2 linked regions of the Oryctolagus cuniculus genome follow. The protein of the gene in region 1 interacts with the protein of each later gene in a biochemical or structural test. Links are inferred from orthologs where the notes say so. Each region holds a gene or a part of one and is shown on either strand. Other genes may lie near its edges.

Region 1 (9,999 bases):
GCGACTTCTCTGCTGCCCTTCCAACTCTCCCTCTGCTCATTCCTTCCCCACCTGCCGGTAAGATCCTTCGTGGGGGCCAGTGTCGCCGTGCAGTGGGTGAAGCGCCTATCTGAGGGCCTGGTTTGAGTCCCGGCTCTTCTGCTTCTGATCAGGCTCCCTGCTAATGTGCGGAGGGGAGCGGGCGGACAGATGATATGACAGCACCAAGTACTTGGGTTTCTGCCACCCACTTGGGAGACTGCAATGGAGTTCCCGGCTGCCACCTGGCCCAGCCCTAGCGGTTGGGAAGTTAATAGTAGATAAACATATTTGTCTCTGTTGGTTTTTCAAACAAACAAATAAATCCTACAAAGTATGTAGTTTTGGGGTGTTTAGGGGTGCAGTGGAGTGGGTTGCCTGCACTGTGTATCGGAGTACGGGTTCAAGTCCTGGCTCCTCTGCTTCCACTCCAGCCTCCTGCTAATAAGCGCCTGGGAGCTAGATCACAGCTCAAGCACTCGGCCCCTGCCACCCCTGTGGGAGACTCAGATGCTGCCCCAGGCCCCTGCCACCCTGTGGGAGACTCAGATGCTGTCCCAGGCCCCTGCCACCCTGTGGGAGACTCAGATGCTGTCCCAGGCCCCTGCCACCCCTGTGGGAGACTCAGATGCTGTTCCAGGCTCCTGCCTGTGGCCCGGCCCAGCCCTAGCCGTCATGGGCATTTTGAGAGTGAACCAGAGGATAGAGGAGCCATCTCGGGTGCTCTGCTTTTCATGTAGATGAAAATAAGCATTTTTTAAAGATTTATTTATTTGAAAGGCAGAGTTAGAGAGAGGTAGAGGCAGAAAGCAAGGTCTTCCACCTGCTGGTTCACTCCCTAAACGGCTGCCAACAGCTGAAGCTGAGCCAATCCAAAGCCAGGAGCCGGGAGCCAGGAGCTTCTTCTGGGTCTCCCACGTGGGTGCAGGGGCCCAAGGACCTGGGCCATCTTCCTGCTTTCCCAGGCCATAGCAGAGAGCTGGATGGGAAGTAGAGCAGCTGGGACTTGAACTGGTGCCCATATGGGATGCTGGCACTACAGGCAGCAGCTTTTACCCTCTACTCCATAGCACCAGCCTGCCCCCCCCCCGCCTTTTTTAAAGAATATTAACCCTTCCTCTTAGGCTTATTATGTGCAGTCCAAAAAAAGTAGTTCCTCACTTACTACTCATAAACCCAAAGGCAGATACTGTTGTAATCCTCATTCGACAGCTGAATAAGCCAGGCTAACAGAACCAGGCCTCAACCTGAACCCCACCTCCTCCACTTCCCAGCTCTGAGGTCCTGATTCACCCCTCCTCTGCCAGTTCCTATAAACTGTTAAGAATACTGTAAGGTGGGGCTGGCGGTGCGGTACAGTGTGTAAGGACGCCGCCTGCCGTACTGGCATCTCACATGGGTGCCAGTTCCAGTCCCGGCTGCTCCACTTCTGATCCAGCTCCCTGCTAATGTGTGTGGGAAAGCAGCAGCAGATGGCCGAAGTGCTTGGGCCCCTGCACCCACATGGGAGGCCCAGAAGCAACTCCAGGCTCCTGGCTTCGGATCAGCCCAGCTCCAGCCGATGCGGCCACTGGAGGAGTGAATCAGCAGATGGAACACCTCTCTCTCTGCCTTTGCCTCTAACTCTGCCTTTCAAATAAATAAATAAATCTTTAAAAAAAAAAAGGAATATTGTAAGGTGATTTTGAATAATAAATGAATAAATAAACAGCTGGAACACTGCCTACACTTAACAAGCATTACCATTTTCCACATTTTTAAGGATTTGACAGGCAGGGCAACAGAGAGAGCTGCTGGTTTGCTCCTGAAATGGCCGCACAGCCAGGGCTGGGCCAGGCTGAAGCTGGGAGCTCAGCACTCCCTCGGGGTTTCCCATGCTGGGTGTGGGGGCCAAGTACTCGGGTCACTTCCCGTTGTCTTCCCAGGGAACTGGATCAGAAATGGAGTAGCCAAGCCCTGAGCAGGCACGCTGACACGGGATGCAGGCGTCGCCCACAGTGGCTTAACATGCTGCACACGAGGCCCGCCCCCACCCCTTTTCAAGTCTCCTCCCGTGAGTGCTGTTTCGCTGACTCCACGTGAACACTGCGTGACGTTGGCTCTCTGCTGTTTCTGCTTGAACACTTGGTTCATTCCACAAGTACAGCGTGTGCAAAGCAATGCTTAGGCACCAGGAATACAGCACAGAACCAGATCTGTGTCCCCATGCCTGGGAAGGTGGCGACAGAGCCGTGAGCAGCCCGGAAAAATACCAGGCAGTGACAAGTACCCGCCCGGGACTCAACTAGGGGGTTCAGAGGCACTTTCCACTTAGGGTGCGAAGGGCCCTAAGGAGGTGACAAGGAGCCAGCCAGGCCAACACATTTTTATTTATTTATTTGAGAGGCAGACAGGCAGCGCAATGAGCTCCCATTCACTGGGTGACGCTCCAAACGCACATAACAGCTGGCGTTGGGCTGGGTCAAAGCCGGGCACTCAATCCAGGTCTTCCCCATGTGCAGGAACCCAGGGTCTCGCGGCCAGAGCCAGAGGCTGGGACTAGCTCGCTCCTCTGATGTCGGACACAGGAAACCCACCCAGCTGGCTACACACCTGCTTCTTAAAATCCACCCGGTCCCCTGGTCATGCCCACCAGACATCTCTCCAGCCTCTTTCCACGAGTGCCTGAAGCCCGCTCTGCTTGGAAATCCACAGGGTCCTATCCCACCATGTCTCGGCTCATGCCGTTCCCTCTCCACCCCACCCCTGTCACCCAGATGGGATCCCCCGGCCCCCATTCCCTGCGCTTCGAAGCACGACCCCCTCAGAGCATCAGATAAAGGGGGCAGACCTCTCAACTGGTCTGAGCGCCCCAGTGAGTGGCCTGGGCTTCCTATCGCCGCAGGTGTGCTAGCAAGAACTAAAATAACTCGGCCGCCCCGAAGAATGCTCCTAGGCCTTTAGTGCAAAATCCCAGGTGGGCAGCTGGGGCGCCGCAGGCTGAGCTGCCGCGTGGGCCGGACCGAGTGCCTAGGATGTGGCACCACCTCCACTTCCGACCACATGGGAGACAGCAAGGGACGCTGGAGTCCCGGGGTCCCTGGCCCTCAGCTCCCGGGGAGGCCTGCATGGAGCCCCTGGCTTCGATCCGGCCCAGCCCTGGCTGTTTTGGGCATCTGGGCAGGTCTGCCACTCTGCCTCTCCAACAGAAACAGAGCGACCCCGGGCCCCCCCAGACCTCCTCAACTTTGAACCTTCAGAGGCGACTTTTATCAAAGGTTCTGCTGGGGCAGCTGGTTACCAGAAGCCTGGGGGGCATCCGAGGCCGGCTCCGGTTGGTTCGCTAAGCCTGGCGCCCATCTGAGCCGCCGCAGGAGCACACAACGCCAAGCCCACCTTCCGAGCCCCCGCCCGGGGCGCCGGGTCCACTGCTGGGCCACGTGTGCCGCTGCCCGCCCAGCCGCCACACTGACGGCAGAGGAAGCGCGGCGGGCGGCCCAGGTCCCGCTGCCCACCCCACCATGACCAAGCCCCTCGCGGGCGCGACCTCCAAGCTGCTGGACCGCGGGGACAAACACCTGCCGCGTGGTTACGGGGGACTAACCGAGCGCTTGTGCACGGCTCACAACTCTACCCGCAGCCCTCGGGAGGCACGTGGGCCGGAGGGCGCTCCAGCGGCCAGGGAGTCTGGGGCCCCTGGCTGGCCGGCGGGCCCCCGAAAGGGCCACTCGGAACTTGGCCGAACCTCAACTTCCGGCGCCCTCGGGCTGACCCGCAGGAAACCGCCGCGACCCCTCGCTCCAGAGCCGCAAGCAGGCTCAGCGAGGAGCGCGCACCGGCGCCCTCCCGCGCACACGTCTACCGGACCCGGCTACTTTCTGGAAACCGAGACCACCGCCCCGCGTTCGCTCAGTTCGCCGCGCCACTCGCTCGCTCGCCCCGCGCCAAAAGAGCCCGTCGCATGACGCATGCGCCGGGACGACCGGCCGCGGAGGAACACTCTGCGACCCGCGCACCCCCGGGCCAATCAGCGCCGGCCTTGCACAAAGCAAATCCCGCCTCCAGGACGCGGCCGCCAGACCCCCTTCCCCTCCTTGGCCGCCTGGGCCCGCCCACTCCGGCCCAATCCCCGCCCCACGCCGCGCACAGTTAGCGGCTTGCGATTGGCTCGCGCGACGGACGCGAGCTCTGATTGGTAGAGGAGGAGTCACGAGGGCGCCGTCGTCGCCTTTCCAGAGGCGATTACTGGGCAGGCTCAGTCTTTCGCCTCAGTCTCTAGCTCTCGCTGGCAGCCCGGCGTACGTGCTCCGGCATCTTCAGTCACCCGCGGCCGCCATCGACGCCGCTCGGGTTCCTCTAGGCTCGTCTGCGCCACAGCCGCCGCCGTCGTAAGCCGCCATCATGGTGAAGCTGGCCAAGGTAAGCGCTGAGGGCGCGCGAGCGCGAGCGCCGAGGCCTGCTGCTCAGGAGCGCGCGCGGCGTCGCGGGGAGGAGGGCCTGCGCGCCGTCCCGGGCGCGTTCGAGGGCGCCATGCTGTGGGAAGTCTCGCGCGACTGGCGGGCAGTTCTCGCGTGTCTTGGCTGCTTGGCGGCGAGGTGCGGCGCGCTCCGGCAGGTGCTGAGGGCGGCGTGGAAGGCTGCGGCGCGGGGCGCGGGGCGGCGGGAGGAAGTGAGATCCAACTCGTGCGCCGCGCGCGGGCCGGGCCCCGCCTCCGGCCGCACGTGCGCCGGCTCGCGGCCCGCCACGTGGGCCCCGCCGCGTGGGCCGCGGGGTGGCCGGGGCCCGCCGGCGCGAACCCGCGGCCCTGGCCCAGCTGCCCGGGGCCCCCCGGCCGCCGCCACGTGCGCCGGCCCCGGAAGGAGGCGCCGGGGTGCGTGCACATGGTGGCCGCCGGGCACCCCCACGTGGCCGCGGCCAGGTGAGAGGGGCAGGCCGGTTGGGGTCCGAGGTGGCTTTGTTACTTTTATGCTTTTGCGACGCTGGTGCTGCCCGGAGTTCCGACGAGGGCGCTGGTGGTGTGCGTCGGAGGCTGGGGGGGGTCCTCCCTGGAAGAGTGGCCGCTGGCTACTAAGAAGGGTGCCTGGTGCTAGGGTTGAACCCAGGGGTGAATTAAGTGGTTGAGGGTAAAAAAAGGCAGATGGGTTATTTCATCACCTTGGACTTGTTTTTTAGGTTTTGTCAAGATTGACAGGGAAACTCTGATGGGCCGTACTGTTGGTCAGTTTCAGGATCGGTTATGTTTAATGCTGAAAGTGCGTTGAGGAGGGTGATGGTTGTATTTTATTGTGGGCCGTGGAATCGATGAGGGGTGTTCATGTCCTCATTGTGTGCGTTTTAGGCTGGTAAAAACCAAGGTGAGCCCAAGAAAATGGCTCCTCCTCCCAAGGAGGTAGAAGAAGATAGTGAAGACGAGGAGATGTCGGAAGATGACGAGGATGACAGCAGTGGAGAAGAGGTAACTGGGTCGCGATCGAGGAGAAATTGGGTTGCACTTACACAGTGGACAGAATGGTGTTGGGTGTCTGAAAAGGATATGAAAAGTAGTGTGTTATTCACGTGACCCGGGGTGGGGGGTGCTTAGATGGCAGGAGACCGTTGGGTGAGTACCTGAGTGTGAGCATCTGGGATCTGTGCCCTCTGCACGGCTGGAGTGAGGTTGATACACTTCTCCTGCTCAGCATAAAGGACCAGGTGGATTCTGTCCCCCCCCTGTATGTAAGGTTTGTAGCGATTGGGTGGGTTGAAGGTGCCACCTGAGCATTCACGTTCATTGCTTGCATGGAAAGTCGGTTTTTTAGAATTCAGCAAAGACTTTACTCTTAAGTGAACTATCTGATAAACTAGGAAGTTAATGAAAATAGCTTTGAATAGGAGTTAAAATGTAGGTAAATAATGGTTCTTACAGATACAGTGTTTATTTGATGTGCTGTAATTTGTAAGGGTTGCTCAGCCAATTTAAGGCTGATTTTTATCTCAGGTCCTGTCTCAGGACAAGAATCCTGTACCACTACCCACTGTATGATCCCCAGATGATTTTTAATATTCAGATTTATTTATTTGCAAAGAGAGTTATAGAGAGGCAGAGTTCTCCCATCCACTGGTTCACTCCCCAAGTGGCTGCAACGTCCAGAGCTGGACCTATCCGAAGCCAGGATCTTCTGGGTCTTCACGTGGGTGCAGGGGCCCAAGCGCCTGGGCCATCTTCTGCTTTCCAGGCCACAGCGGAGAGCAGGATGGAAGTAGAGCAGCTGGGGCTTGAATTGGCTCCCATATGGGCTGCCGGCAGCAGTTTTATGTGCTACGCCACAGCACTTTACTTACTGTTGAACCTAACATGTTAACATGGAACATATGCAGTCTTGAACCAGAGGCAGTGCCAGAATCCACCACTGGGACCAGGGCTGCCTTTCGGATGTAGCAGAACTAACTGTTGGTGTTTGCTGTTTAGATAGTCATCCCACAGAAGAAAGGCAAGAAAGCTGCTGCGGCTCCAGCCAAGAAGGCGGTGGCTTCCCCGACAAAAAAGCCTGCGGCTGCCACTCCTGCCAAGAAAGCAGTTGTCACTCCAGGTAAAAAGGGAGCCGCCACCACGCCAGCGAAGAAGGCCGCTACCCCAGCCAAAGCGGTGGTGGCGTCGGGCAAGAAGGGGGCCGCGCTGGGCAAAGCAGTGGTAGCGGCCTCGGGAAAGAAGGGAGCGGTCCTCCCCGCCAAGGGGGCCAAGAATGGTAAGAACGCCAAGAAGGAAGACAGCGACGACGAGGAGGAGGAGGAGGACAGCGAGGAGGACGACGACGACGAGGATGAAGATGACGAGGAGGACGAGGAGGATGAGTTTGAGCCGGCGGTCATGAAGGCAGCAGCGGTGGCCCCCGCCTCCGAGGATGAGGACGAGGAGGACGAGGATGAAGACGACGATGAGGACGAGGACGACGACGAGGAGGACGAGGAAGACGGTAAGGAAGTCATGGTGGCTCCTGGCTCTGGGAGGTTTCCACGTAGCCACGTGGGGTTGGATTAGAGTCCTTCCTGGGGTCCTCTGGGCTCTTCCTGTGGCCTTGAGTGTGGGGGTAGGGCGTTCTTTCCTCCAGAGCATCCCAGAGCCAGAGTTGGTGTGGGAGATCCTTCCAGACTGACTAGACGGCTCCTTTCAGACTCTGAAGAAGAAGCCATGGTGACCACACCAGCCAAAGGGAAGAAAGCGCCGGCGAAAGCTGCCCCCGTAAAGGCGAAGAGCGTGGCTGAGGAGGAGGAGGAGGACGACGACGACGACGAAGAGGATGAGGATGAGGAAGATGACGATGAAGAGGAGGAGGAAGACGAGGACGAGGAGGATGAAGAGGAGGAGGAGGAAGAAGAGGAGGAAGGTAATCTCTACAATGAGCCTGTTTCTCTGTGAACTTGTGAAGCAGCCTTGCGTGTGACTGCTCACAGGTGACACTGTTAACCTTGTCCAGAGCCTGTCAAAGAAGCACCTGGAAAACGGAAGAAGGAAATGACCAAACAGAAGTCAGCTCCAGAAGCCAAGAAGCAGAAAGTGGAAGGTACCTGGGAGAACTGGGGTGTTGGGTGGGGTGACTTCTGATAGCACAAGTGATGAACGACAAGGGGACTTAATGCTGAAGCCTGATGGTACATGTGATACACTGATGTGCTGTGTGGGCATTTTGTACTGGAAGCTGATTTTTTACCATATTTTAGAGACTGATAAGTAATTTTTTTGTACAGCCACAGAACCAACCACATCTTTCAATCTGTTTGTTGGAAACCTGAATTCTAGCAAATCTGCTCCTGAATTAAAAACTGGTATCAGTGATGTTTTTGCTAAAAACGATCTTGCTGTTGTGGATGTCAGAATTGGCACAACCAGGTAGGTGCTTTCCCTTCCTGTTGACATCCATGGGTCTGTTAATAGCTCCTCTAGCTGCCTTCACCTGTGTGGTTTCCTTAAACATAGATGTGTGAACGTGTTCAGTAATTTGACAATGTTGAATGAAGTCATTGGATTTTTAGAATCTAGAACCCCGAAATCCCTAATCAACCCTAATGTTATCGGACAGACTAATTCATAACATTTGGGTAATTTGGTGTTGAGTTCTTAGAAATCCCTTTTAGAAGATTTAATTTATTTGAGAGGTAGTTACAGACAGAAAGGTCTTCCATCTGCTGGATCATTCCCCAAATGACTGCAGCAGCTAGAACTGGGCTAATCAGGAGCTTCTTCCAAGTCTCCCACATGGATGCAGGGGCCCAAGCACTTGGGAAATCTAGTGTTCTCCCAGCTCATAGCAGAGAGCTGGATCAGAAGACCAGCCTGAACTCGGGGATCGAACTGGCACTCAGGTGTGTTTGCCTGCATTATAAGAGAATTAAGATGCCATGCCAGTCCTACTTCTGTCAGCTGTGTAGTCTGAGTGGTTATCAGTGTTTTTGCTGCTACTGTCTTGATTCTTAAATGGGTGTGTCAGCAAGTCTGAGTTGTGACTGGCCCATCCAGAGTTAACTGAACTTGAAAATCATGTCTTGGAACTTCAGTCTGCTCCTCAGCCATTTGTGGAGGCAAGGTGGTGGTTTTTGTCTTGTTTATTTTACTTAATTGCAGTAGTGCCGTTGCTGCTCAGAATACGGTCTGTGCCTTTTCCTCTGAGAAATGTCCCTCTTTCATCTTAAAGGAAGTTTGGCTATGTGGATTTTGAATCTGCTGAGGACCTAGAAAAAGCCTTGGAATTGACTGGTTTGAAAGTCTTTGGCAATGAAATTAAACTGGAGAAACCGAAAGGAAAAGACAGCAAGAAGGGTATGTGTGGCTTTCACAGATGACGGCACCAGCGTGTCCAAGGTAGAAGGGTTGCAAGTTGCCATTCTCATCCAAAATGCTTGGGACCAAAAGAGTCTCCATGCTTCAGGTTTTTCTTTGAAGATTTTGGGATATTTTCCATATATAAACAAATAGCTTGGGGATGAGACCCTATCTTAAACACGTTTTACACACAGCCTGAAGGTAATTTGACATTTTTAGTCTACCTGCGTTTTAACTTCTAAAGGAGGGAGAGACTAGATTCCATTTACTGGGTTATTCCTCAGAGGTTCACGAGTGCTGAGGCCTGGCTGGAGCCACAACCACAATCCAGGCCTTGTACCTGGGTGGTAGGGACCCTGCCGACTGTCATGCAGGGTCTGTATCAAGGAACTGGGGATACCCAGGTACTCCAGAAGGGGTGCAGCTGTCTCAGTGCTAGACCAAGTGCCCAGTGCAGTCCTGACACGATGAGCTGTGGAACTTCCCACTCGAGGTGTGTATTGGGGGCTCAGAAAGTTGGGTGTGTTTTTATTATTAGAGATGCTCAGTGCTCAACCTGAAATAATGGACACGAGCTTGCCTCCACTTGCATCTTTCAGCTCTATTTTTTATATGCTTAGATTGTTTTCTGTTGCTCAAAGGTACTGACCACCTTCTATAGATCGATTTCTCTGTTCTAGATGCCCATTTGACAGTATGCAATGTGGGAGACCCACTTGGTTCTCCCTACAAAGTCTTGGACATCGTTGGATTCAAATTTTGAATAGAACTGGGGCTTTGTGTGTGCGTGCACATTTATCCCTGTTATTCATTAAGGTTACAGAGTTGGTGTTGTATTTTTCTAGATCGAGATGCAAGAACACTTTTGGCCAAAAATCTCCCTTACAAAGTCACTCAGGATGAATTAAAGGAAGTGTTTGAAGATGCTGTGGAGATCAGACTGGTCAGCAAGGATGGAAAGAGTAAAGGGTATGTTTGAGGATGGTTACCGTCAGTACAGTTCTTGACCTGATACCAGGAGTGCCGCTCCGGTCTCATGGGTGCGTGATGGCTTAGAAGTGCCTGGTGGGGCTGCATGGTGGTATTTCACATGGTGACAGACTGCTTGTGTGACAGTGGGCCTGTGAGCCTACATCGCCTAGTGCTGTCATGGCTGTCGCAGTTTGTGTAGACAGGCTCCACAAGAACACACCCCTGTCACTAAG
Region 2 (9,899 bases), on another chromosome or scaffold:
GCCCGGGTGTCCTGCCTGGCCGGGTGTGGGCAGCCCGTCCCCTTGTGCCGGCCCTGAGGCCCGGCGTCTACGTGAAGGGGCCGTCTGGGTGTCCAGGGCTCCGTGGGGGTGTGCGTGGTGTAGCCCCCACGAGCGGGCGCGGGGCGGCGAGGGCCTGGGCAGAGACCTCGCTGTCGCCCTGCAGAGCAGAACTACTGCGAGTCGCGGTACCACTTCCTGCACTCGACGGACGGCGAGGGCTGCGCGCACATGCTGGTCGAGTACTCCACCTCCAGGGGCTTCCGCAGCGAGGCCGACATGTTCGTGGCCCAGGCCGTGCTGCAGTAGGTGCTGGGGGCAGGGCGGGAGCTGAGCGCGGCCGTGCCTCCCTGCTCGGGCCTGGCTCGCACCGAGCCCCCGTGGCGGGGTAGCGTGGGCGGCACAGGCCCCCGTGGCGGGGTAGCGTGGGCGGCACAGGCCCCTGTGACAGGGTAGTGTGGACGGCACAGGCCCGTGGTGACAGGGTAGCGTGGGCGGCACAGGCCCCCGTGACGGGGGTAGCGTGGGCGGCACAGGCCCCTGTGACGGGGGTAGTGCGGGCGGCACAGGCCCCTGTGACGGGGGTAGTGTGGACGGCACAGGCCCGTGGTGACAGGGTAGTGTGGACGGCACAGGCCCCCGTGGCGGGGTAGCGTGGGCGGCACAGGCCTGCGGTGATGGGGTAGCGCGGGCGGCACAGGCCCCCATGATGGGTTTGTTTAAAATCTGAGAGGCACCAGTCTTGGCGCCGTGGCACGCGGCGTGGCCACGTTCTCTGCCCCAAGCTCAGGGCACTGCCCGGGGAGCCCTGGGTTGCGCCTGCCATGCCCCATGGAGAGAAGCCAGGGTCCGCTCCCCGCCCAGCCGTGCCGCAGCAGGTGTGCGCCGGCGTGCAGCCATGACTGCACGGGGGGAGGGGGTCTGCTGTGAGCCCCGCCCAGAGCAGGGGCAGTGTGTGGGGGGGTCTGCTGTGAGCCCCAGCCCAGAGCAGGGGCAGTGCAGGGAGGCGGGGTCTGCTGTGAGCCCCCAGCCCAGAGCAGGGGCAGTGCAGGGAGGCGGGGTCTGCTGTGAGCCCCCAGCCCAGAGCAGGGGCAGTGCAGGGAGGCGGGGTCTGCTGTGAGCCCCCAGCCCAGAGCAGGGGCAGTGTGTGTGGGGGGGTCTGCTGTGAGCCCCGCCCAGAGCAGGGGCAGTGTGTGGGGGGGTCTGCTGTGAGCCCCGCCCAGAGCAGGGGCAGTGCAGGGAGGCGGGGTCTGCTGTGAGCCCCAGCCCAGAGCAGGGGCAGTGCAGGGAGGCGGGGTCTGCTGTGAGCCCCGCCCAGAGCAGGGGCAGTGGGGGGGGTCTGCTGTGAGCCCCGCCCAGAGCAGGGGCAGTGCGGGGAGGCGGGGTCTGCTGTGAGCCCCCAGCCCAGAGCAGGGGCAGTGCGGGGAGGCGGGGTCTGCTGTGAGCCCCGCCCAGAGCAGGGGCAGTGGGGGGGGGTCTGCTGTGAGCCCCGCCCAGAGCAGGGGCAGTGCAGGGAGGCGGGGTCTGCTGTGAGCCCCGCCCAGAGCAGGGGCAGTGGGGGGAGGCGGGGTCTGCTGTGAGCCCCCAGCCCAGAGCAGGGGCAGTGCGGGGAGGCGGGGTCTGCTGTGAGCCCCGCCCAGAGCAGGGGCAGTGGGGGGGGTCTGCTGTGAGCCCCGCCCAGAGCAGGGGCAGTGCGGGGAGGCGGGGTCTGCTGTGAGCCCCCAGCCCAGAGCAGGGGCAGTGCGGGGAGGCGGGGTCTGCTGTGAGCCCCGCCCAGAGCAGGGGCAGTGGGGGGGGGTCTGCTGTGAGCCCCGCCCAGAGCAGGGGCAGTGCAGGGAGGCGGGGTCTGCTGTGAGCCCCCAGCCCAGAGCAGGGGCAGTGCGGGGAGGCGGGGTCTGCTGTGAGCCCCGCCCAGAGCAGGGGCAGTGGGGGGGGGTCTGCTGTGAGCCCCGCCCAGAGCAGGGGCAGTGCAGGGAGGCGGGGTCTGCTGTGAGCCCCGCCCAGAGCAGGGGCAGTGGGGGGGGGGTCTGCTGTGAGCCCCGCCCAGAGCAGGGGCAGTGCGGGGAGGCGGGGTCTGTGAGCGGAGGGGTCCCCGCCCAGAGCAGGGGCAGTGCGGGGAGGCGGGGCCTGTGAGCGGAGGGGGGAGGCGGGGCCTGTGAGCGGAGGGGGGGAGGCGGGGCTGTGAGCGGAGGGTCCCCGCAGGTTCCTGTGTCTGAAGAACAAGAGCAGCGCGCTGGTGGTGTTCACGACGTACACGCAGAAGCACCCGTCCATCGAGGGCGGGCCCCCCTTCGTGCAGCCCCTGCTCAACTTCATCTGGTTCCTGCTGCTGGCTGTGGACGGGTGAGCCCGCGGGGGCGGGCCGGGCGGGCGGGGCGGGGCGGGGCTGCGGTCACGGCGGCGCTGGCGTCACGCGGGGCCCTGTCTTTCAGCGGGAAGCTGACGGTGTTCACGGTGCTGTGTGAGCAGTACCAGCCGTCCCTGCGCAGGGACCCCATGTACAACGAGGTGAGGGCCGGCGCCTGGGGGCGGCCTGCTCGGGCCCGCAGCGCCTCGACCGTGTGTCCCGGGCTGGGGGTGGGGGTGGGGGTGGGCGCCCCGGCCGGCACCCCGTGCCTCACGGCCCCCTCCCCGCAGTACCTCGACCGCATAGGCCAGCTCTTCTTCGGGGTGCCGCCCAAGCAGACGTCGTCCTACGGAGGCCTGCTCGGTAAGCCCCCCCCCCCCCCCGTGGCTCCAGGGTGCCCCACGCCGCGGCCGCCCAGGCGCTCCCCGCTGGCCTTTACATTCTGTGTCGCGATCGGGAATCGCGGTTCTCGTGTTCGCCAGGGCCCCGCCTCCCGCGGCCGGGTGGACTTGAGGCCGCTGCGGGCAGGGGCTCCTTCCCGGGGCGAGGCCCTGGCCCTGAGTGGGAGCCTCCGCCCATGGGGCGGCCCTGCTCACGCGCCCGCCGTGCCCTGCAGGGGACCTGCTGAGCAGCCTCATGGGCGCCTCGGAGCAGGAGGACGGCGAGGAGAGCCCCTGCGGCGGCAGCCCCATCGAGCTGGACTGAGCGCGGCCGCCGACGCGGGCACGGGTCGGACGGGCGCCCGCGACGGGGCTCCTCGCGCCGGCGGGCCCTCGGGCCGAGGCTGGCGGCGCCACGCCGGGCGTCTGTATGTGTGTGAGGCGGCCAGGCGGCTCGGGGCCCGTGTCCCCTGCGCTCCCCCAATAAAGCACAGGCCTCGCCGTGGCGCCGCTCTCCCGCTGCCTTGTTTGCCGGCCCGTGGGGAGGGCGCGCGTGTGGGCAGGCGGCCTGCACTCACCGCGCCCGTCCCCGGGCCAGGGCTGCGGCCCCTCCGGCTGTCCCCGCGCCGTCCCGCCACCGCGCAGAGGCCAGCAGGCACCGAGAGGTGTGGACACTTTATTTCTTCACAATTGAAAGGGGGTTGTGGAGGACACGCGGCGGCCGCGTGCGCCGTGCGGGGCGTCGGGGAGCTCTGTCAGCACGCGTGTAAATAAATCCTTTCTACCGGCTCGCAGCGTGGTCCTCTGAGCGCGCGCGCCCGGCCCCGGCGGCCAGGGTCCTCTGAGCGCGCGCGCCCGCCCTGGCGGCCAGGGTCCTCTGAGCGCGTGCGCCCGGCCCCGGCGGCCAGGGTCCTGGGGTGGGGGAGCGAGGGCCCGGGGCCACCCATGGCTGCGGCCGCACAGAGCCGGCCCTTCCTGCCCCCACACCTCGGGACGCCGCGAGACCTCCGACACGCGTGATGTCCTGGGTCCAGACCGGGGTTCCCCACCAGCACAGCCACATCCTGGGCTTCGTATCACGCTTGTCCACGTCCTCCCACGCACTGCCCCCACGCGGGGCTGCCCGTGTGTGCACTCGACACACCTGGGGCCCAGTCTGGCCTGGGCGGTAGTGGACGTGGCACGAGGGGCGGGGCGGGGGCGCAGCTCCCCCCCAGTCGTGCCAGGCAGGGCTGAGAGGGGTCCACCCCGGTCACCTGCAGGGGTGCTCTGTGCAGCTGGGGCACAGGGCGCGCACACCGCGGCCCCCACCGTTGGCCCACCAGCAGCAAGCAGGGAGGGGTGAGCTGGGTGCGGGGCCAGCAGTGAGGGTGGGCGGGCGGGCGGGCACCGGCCATCATCAGCACCAAGTGTCTGGCACGCAGGCCACTGGGTCCCCACAGGCGAGGGCTGGGCAACCCGTCTGCCAAGCCAGGGGCCCGGGGGGTGGGGGCCTCCAGCCAGCAGAGGGTCCCCAGGACCGGGGCTGGGTCAGTGTGGGGACCAGGGCCAACGGCCCAGGCTCCAGGACCACAGCAGGTGCACAATAAATACTTGAGGGGGGGGCGGGGCAGGGGAGGGGCAGAGTCCCAGTGCCAGGCCCACGGGGCCCTGCTCCAAGCCAGGGGTCGCCTGGGCAGTCTGCTCGTGATGCGGCCCAGACCCTACCTGGCCGGGCTCCCTGCGTCCACAGCCCCTCCCTGGTCCAGCCTCCAGCTCCTCAGCCACGTCAGCCACGTGAGTCTGTGGTCCCCAGGTGGGCGGTGCTGCGCGCTAGGGCTTATGCTTGAAGTGGGCTTCCACTAGAAACAGAACGGGCATTGGCCTGGTCCCAGCCACACGGGCAGGGGTGCCCCGCGGGCCTGGCCACACCCCCACCCCACGGACCCCACAGGCCTGGCCACGCCCCCACCCCACGGACCCCACAGGCCTGGCCACGCCCCCACCCCACGGACCCCGCAGGCCTGGCCACGCCCCCGCCTCACCTGCATACTCCTGGGGCAGCATGGGCCTGTCCACCACCTTCTGGAAGGCCTGCACCCACTCCCGCTGGTCCGCCTCCGTCTCACAGGTGAACAGGAACTTGCGGTCGGGCGTGACGATGGTGATGCCATGCGGCCAGTGGTGGCCCTGGGTGGCCGGCGGGAGCCCCCCCAGCACCGTGTAGCCGCTCTCCTTGCTGCCGATGAAGACCTCCCCACGGGCGAAGGCGTCCTGTGGGCGGAGCCAGAGGACAGGGCTGGGCTCGAGCCTGCTTCCCGCCCCCACCCACCTGCCAGGCGCCCCCCCCCCCCGGCCCAGCCCCTCACCAGGGGGTCTTTGAAGTACATGAGCCGGCGGTCGTCCATGGTGAACCAGCGTTTCCGGAAGCCCTCGGTTTGCTGCGGGTCAGGGGCGGTCATGAGGGGGCGGCGCGGCCCAGCCCAGCCCTGCCCTACACACCCTCGGCCCTGCACACCCCCAGCTCGGCCCTGCCCTGCCCTGCCCTGCCCTGTGCACCCCCGGCACTGCATACCCCGGCCCGGCCCTGCCCTGTGCACCCCCAGCCTGGCCCTGCCCTAGCCCAGCCCTGCCCGGCCCTGCCCTGTGCACCCCCGGCAGGGGCTCCCGGGGCCGCCGGCCTGCACCCACCTTGGGCCCCGTCTTCTCCATGTAGCCTTCCTTCAGGTAGTTCCTGGAGAGCTTCGGCACCAGCTAGGACATGAGGGCGGTGAGGGCGGGGCCGGGCCACCCCCCCCCCCGCGCGCCCCCCCCGCCCCGGCCCGCCACACGCCCCCGCCCACTCACGTCTGCGTCGCTGGCCCCGGGGAAGGCCACCTGCAGGTAGTGGAAGCGGGCGGCCCGCAGCGCATTGAACCAGTCCACAATCTCCTAGGGGCCGAGAGCAGGCGCACGGTGGGCTCGGGCGAACGAGGGGGCCGCGGGTGGGGCCCGGGCAGGGGCGCACATGGCCAGGACGTGCCCACCGGGCTGAGGCCAGGAGGCCGCCTGGTTCTCGGGGGCCAGGCCACATGGAGCGAGGCTGTGGCCCAGGGCTGCCCGGGCCCCTCTGGACCCCACCTCTCATCTCCCAGGGCCACACCACGGACCATGACACCCAGCCAGCACTAGGTGGTCCCAACCTGAGGGCCCGGCCAGCCCACCTCTCCTCATCGGCCTCGGCCGCAGGCCCTAGGCGGCCGCCTGCCACACCACCCACCCAGGGGAGAGCAGGTGCCCACCGCCTCCTCCGGACCCTCCAGCCACAGGAAGTCCCCTCCCACCCCTGGCTGCAGGTTGGCTCGGCACTGGGCCACCCAGATGGAGGAGGGAGACCGCACGGCCCGGAGCACCAGGTCCTCCCGGAGTGGGCCTGGGACGGGTGACGGCAGCGTCGCACCGAGGCCGTCTCTGGGCCCTGGCCAGGCCCAGCTCCCCCACACCGGGAGCCAGCTGAGCAGAGACAAGGAAGCTTGGGGGACCCTGAGCCTCGAGAGCTCGCAGAAGCCACGCCGCCGACGGGCACGAGCCCGGGGGACGTCCCCGAGAGCAGAGCGGGAGAGAGGGGAGCCACGGGCCGTGGCCTCTGCCCGAGGAGGGGCTCCCAGGAAGGCCAGGGCGGCGAGGGGCAGGGCTGGGTGCCGCTGTCCAGGGACAGCCTCGGCCGCTCCCGGCGCCCACCCTCCCGCCCGCGGCCTCGGCCCCTCCCGGTGCCCGCCCTCCCGCCCGCGGCCTCGGCTGCTCCCGCCCGGGGCCTCGGCCCCTCCCGGTGCCCGCCCTCCCGCCCGCGGCCTCGGCTGCTCCCGCCCAGGGCCTCGGCCGCTCCCGGCGCCCACCCTCCCGCCCGCGGCCTCGGCCCCTCCCGGTGTCCGCCCTCCCGCCCGCGGCCTCGGCTGCTCCCGCCCAGGGCCTCGGCCGCTCCCGGCGCCCACCCTCCCGCCCGCGGCCTCGGCCCCTCCCGGTGTCCGCCCTCCCGCCCGCGGCCTCGGCTGCTCCCGCCCGGGGCCTCGGCCCCTCCCGGCGCCCACCTTGCCGTCGTCGTGGTACAGGAAGATGTTGCGGGTGCTGTTGTCCTTCAGGTAGGTGAGCTGCAGGCCGTGCGGGTGGCCGATCTTGGCCGGTTGGAAGGTGGCGTTCAGGTGCTCGATCTTCATGACGGCCTTGGGCTCCTTGGCCTGGGGGGGAGGGCAAGGCTGAGGCCGGCGGGGTGGGCACAAGGGGCTGGCGCTCCTCACCGACACCCCCCGGGGTCCCCAGGGCCCCCGATGCGCACTGGCTCGGGGGTCCTGGCTGGCTCTGCTGAGGGGGTGTGGCCACGAGGCCCCCGTGGGCTCTGCACGGCCATAAGGCCGAGGGCAGGCACCCAGGCCGCCACTGCCCGCCCACGATCCGTGGCCCCCAACCCCGTGGGGCGGCCCGACCTTCACACAAGACCCATGCGTGTGTCCCCTGCTCACGTCATTCTTGTTGAAGTACTTCAGGGCCCCCTCCCGCTCCGTCAGCACAAACTTCCGGCTCAGGAACTGCCCGTTGTCCCGGCCGCGTTTCCACAGGAAGCCCTCGCGGTACCCTGGAGGGGCGCACAGACCGAGAGACGCGCTGTGGCCCACGGCAAAGTCCCGCCCACACCCAGGTCCGACCACCGTGAGTGACAGCACCTGGGCGGGATCTCACCCATTGCCCGCCCCTTCCTGACGGAGGCCCCGCCCATGGCCCTGAAGGTCCTAGCTCCCAGACAGGAGCCCCCAGCCCTGTGCAGACGCCTCCAGGACCACTGCCCCATTGCCACTGGGTGGGTGCAGGGCAGGGCCAGGGCCGCACTGACACCCTGCCTCCCCAGGCCCAGGCCGCAGCCACCCACAGCCAGGGCTCCCTCGGGTGGCCTCCGATTACGGCGCACGGTTCGCCGCCTGTGCCAAGGCGTCATCTCCAGCTGGGGGTCCCGAGCCCCTGTGCGCGGTGCCAGTCCCGGCTGCCGCTGCTCCCTGCTGGGGCCCGGGGAGCAGAAGACGACAGCCCGAGTCCCTGGGCCCTGCACCCGCGTGGGGGACCTGGAGGGAGCTCCTGGCTCCTGGCTTCAGCCAGGCCCAGCTCTGGCCGTTGTGGCCATTTGGGGGTGAACCAGCGGATGGAAGCCTAATTCTCTCAAGTAAATAAACCTTTAAAAAGAAGGAGGAGCTGTGTGGCCACCGGAACCAGAGACAGCAAAGGGGCCGCCCGGAGCCTGGGGGGCCATCCCTGCCCCACCCAGCTCAGCCCGGGAACCCAGAGGGGGACGAGGCCAGGGATGAGGCAGGGGACCAGGTGGGGACCCAGCGGGCGAGCAGGCAGGGGGGTCAGGCGGGGGACAAGGCCAGGGGAGCAGGCACGGGGTGAGGTGGGGGACAAGGCCAGGGGACCAGGTAGGGGATGAGGTGGGGACCAGGCGGCCTCTGCCCCACTGATGCAGGACCCGTGCGTCTTCACCCACGGGAGGGGCCGGCTCGGCCCCGTGCCCCTACAGGGCACCCTCTCCCCAGCAGGCAAGCCCTCTGCCGCGTGGGGACCAGGGCCACCATGTCCCCAGCCTAGCAGGGCTCTCCTAGGAGCCCTGTTCTGACCGACGCGCACCGGCCCGGCTCTGCCCGGAAGTCCGTCCACAGGGCTCCTCCCGGCGCCGGGGCCAGCCTTCTGGAGCAAAGCGGGTGACCGGGAGACAGGCTCAGAGGCAAAACAGCAGCCCCAGCTGAGGACCCCAGGGGCTTCTCCACCCAGGCCCACCGCCATGCCCACCGTGCCCAGCAGGTGGCAGCAGCGCCCTGGGAAGCCAGAGCCGGCTTGGGCACAGCGGCCAGGGCTGCGACCGCCTCCGCCGAGGGCCCAGTGGCCAGGCACCCACGCTGGCACCGAGCTCTCGGCCGGGCCCTCACCAGTCCCCAGCCCACGCGAGCCTCACGTCCTTCCTGAGAAAGGAGCGTGGCCGCCCTGGGCTCACCCCACGGCCCCTCGGCATTCCCTGCCCTTGGCCCCAGCGGCCTTGCCACACCCACCACAGCCCTGCCCTCCTGAGGACCAGCCAGCTCCTCCCCAGCGCCACCTGCTGGGCGGCCGAGGGTCAGCCCATGCCAAGGCCCCGCCGGTGGCCTCTGCACACAGCGTCCCTGAGCGGGAACACTTGGTGGACGGCGCTTCCCACGCACCGGGCGTGGGCTGGGGAGTGGCGGGGACCGAGAGAGGCTGTGCACCTGCCCTCCCCCCGCCGCAAACGGGACTCCACCTGGGGGCCCCAGGGACGGCCAGGCAGCCGCGCTGTGGCACAGGGGATGCAGACGGGCCACACAACGTGCACACAGTGACGCAGGCCGCACAGGTGCAACGCGGACGGGCCACAGGCATGCGCATGGTGACGCAGACGGGCCACACACGTGCACACGGCGACACGGACGGGCCACACTCATGCGCACGGCGACACGGACGGGCCACACACGTGCACACGGCGACACGGACGGGCCACACTCATGCGCACGGCAACACGGACCGCACGAGGCAAAGATGCAGGGCAGAAAGCAGGCAGGGCTGCAGGGGCCGGCTGCTCCTGGTGCGATGGACCCTCCCTACATCTTACCGCCCGGGGCTGGGGATGCAAACCCACCCATGTGTGTGGCGACTCCCAATGCCAGCCGAGGCGGCTGTGGGGGCCTGTAGCCCCCGGCGGAGGAGGGACATCCCCATGGAGGCCCCGCCCTGTGGGGGTCCACTCCTCGCTGGGCTCGGCACAGGCCACCTGGAGCCTGAGCTGCCGACACGGCCCCGGGCAGCACGCGCACTGCGACCTCACCGTGAGGCGGCAGGCCTGGTTCCGGGGCGGCCTCTCCCTGGAGCCGACCCCAGCCACACGGGGGCCTGAGCCAGTGCAGGCTCCCGGGAGAGGCCGCTGTGCCGAGCACCAGCCCTGGCGAGCCCGGAGCCGGTCACCAGCTGGGCCCCGGCTGTCAGCTCTGTCCACTCCGCTCTGCTTCCTGTCACTTGCCGAACCCTCTGGGCACAGCCCGGGCACAGGGCCATCCAAGGGACGCGGCCCTCCCCGGTGGTCCTGCTAGGGCTCCAGACACCGAGGTGGGGGTAGGCGGGGCTCTCCGTGGCAGCTGCAGGCCACA

The links.
Region 2: the proteins of NCL (region 1) and ADAP1 form a complex in vitro, tested with the Homo sapiens proteins (2 studies listed by BioGRID). The link is inferred for Oryctolagus cuniculus from reciprocal best matches to the Homo sapiens genes NCL and ADAP1.

Annotation. Positions count from the first base shown.
Region 1 is NC_091434.1:7,814,268-7,824,266, forward strand, and holds the start of NCL (nucleolin), read left to right. Parts: upstream 1-4,187; 5' UTR 4,188-4,398; coding exon 4,399-4,416; intron 4,417-5,335; coding exon 5,336-5,452; intron 5,453-6,445; coding exon 6,446-6,950; intron 6,951-7,148; coding exon 7,149-7,361; intron 7,362-7,451; coding exon 7,452-7,538; intron 7,539-7,580; exon of another isoform or gene 7,581-7,649; intron 7,650-7,722; coding exon 7,723-7,864; intron 7,865-8,666; coding exon 8,667-8,791; intron 8,792-9,639; coding exon 9,640-9,763; intron 9,764-9,999. UniProt on the Homo sapiens protein: Nucleolin is the major nucleolar protein of growing eukaryotic cells. It is found associated with intranucleolar chromatin and pre-ribosomal particles. It induces chromatin decondensation by binding to histone H1.
Region 2 is NC_091450.1:36,353,643-36,363,541, forward strand, and holds the end of ADAP1 (arf-GAP with dual PH domain-containing protein 1), read right to left. Parts: intron 7,936-9,899; exon of another isoform or gene 7,604-7,935; intron 7,408-7,603; exon of another isoform or gene 7,334-7,407; coding exon 7,221-7,333; intron 6,939-7,220; coding exon 6,792-6,938; intron 5,656-6,791; coding exon 5,572-5,655; intron 5,479-5,571; coding exon 5,416-5,478; intron 5,166-5,415; coding exon 5,094-5,165; intron 4,999-5,093; coding exon 4,770-4,998; intron 4,587-4,769; coding exon 4,558-4,586; 3' UTR 3,408-4,557; downstream 1-3,407. Other genes in the region: GET4 (Golgi to ER traffic protein 4 homolog), read left to right, coding at 185-323, 2,221-2,361, 2,451-2,526, 2,656-2,728, 2,982-3,070. UniProt on the Homo sapiens protein: GTPase-activating protein for the ADP ribosylation factor family. Binds phosphatidylinositol 3,4,5-trisphosphate (PtdInsP3) and inositol 1,3,4,5-tetrakisphosphate (InsP4). Regulates the incorporation of CD63 and CD9 into multivesicular bodies.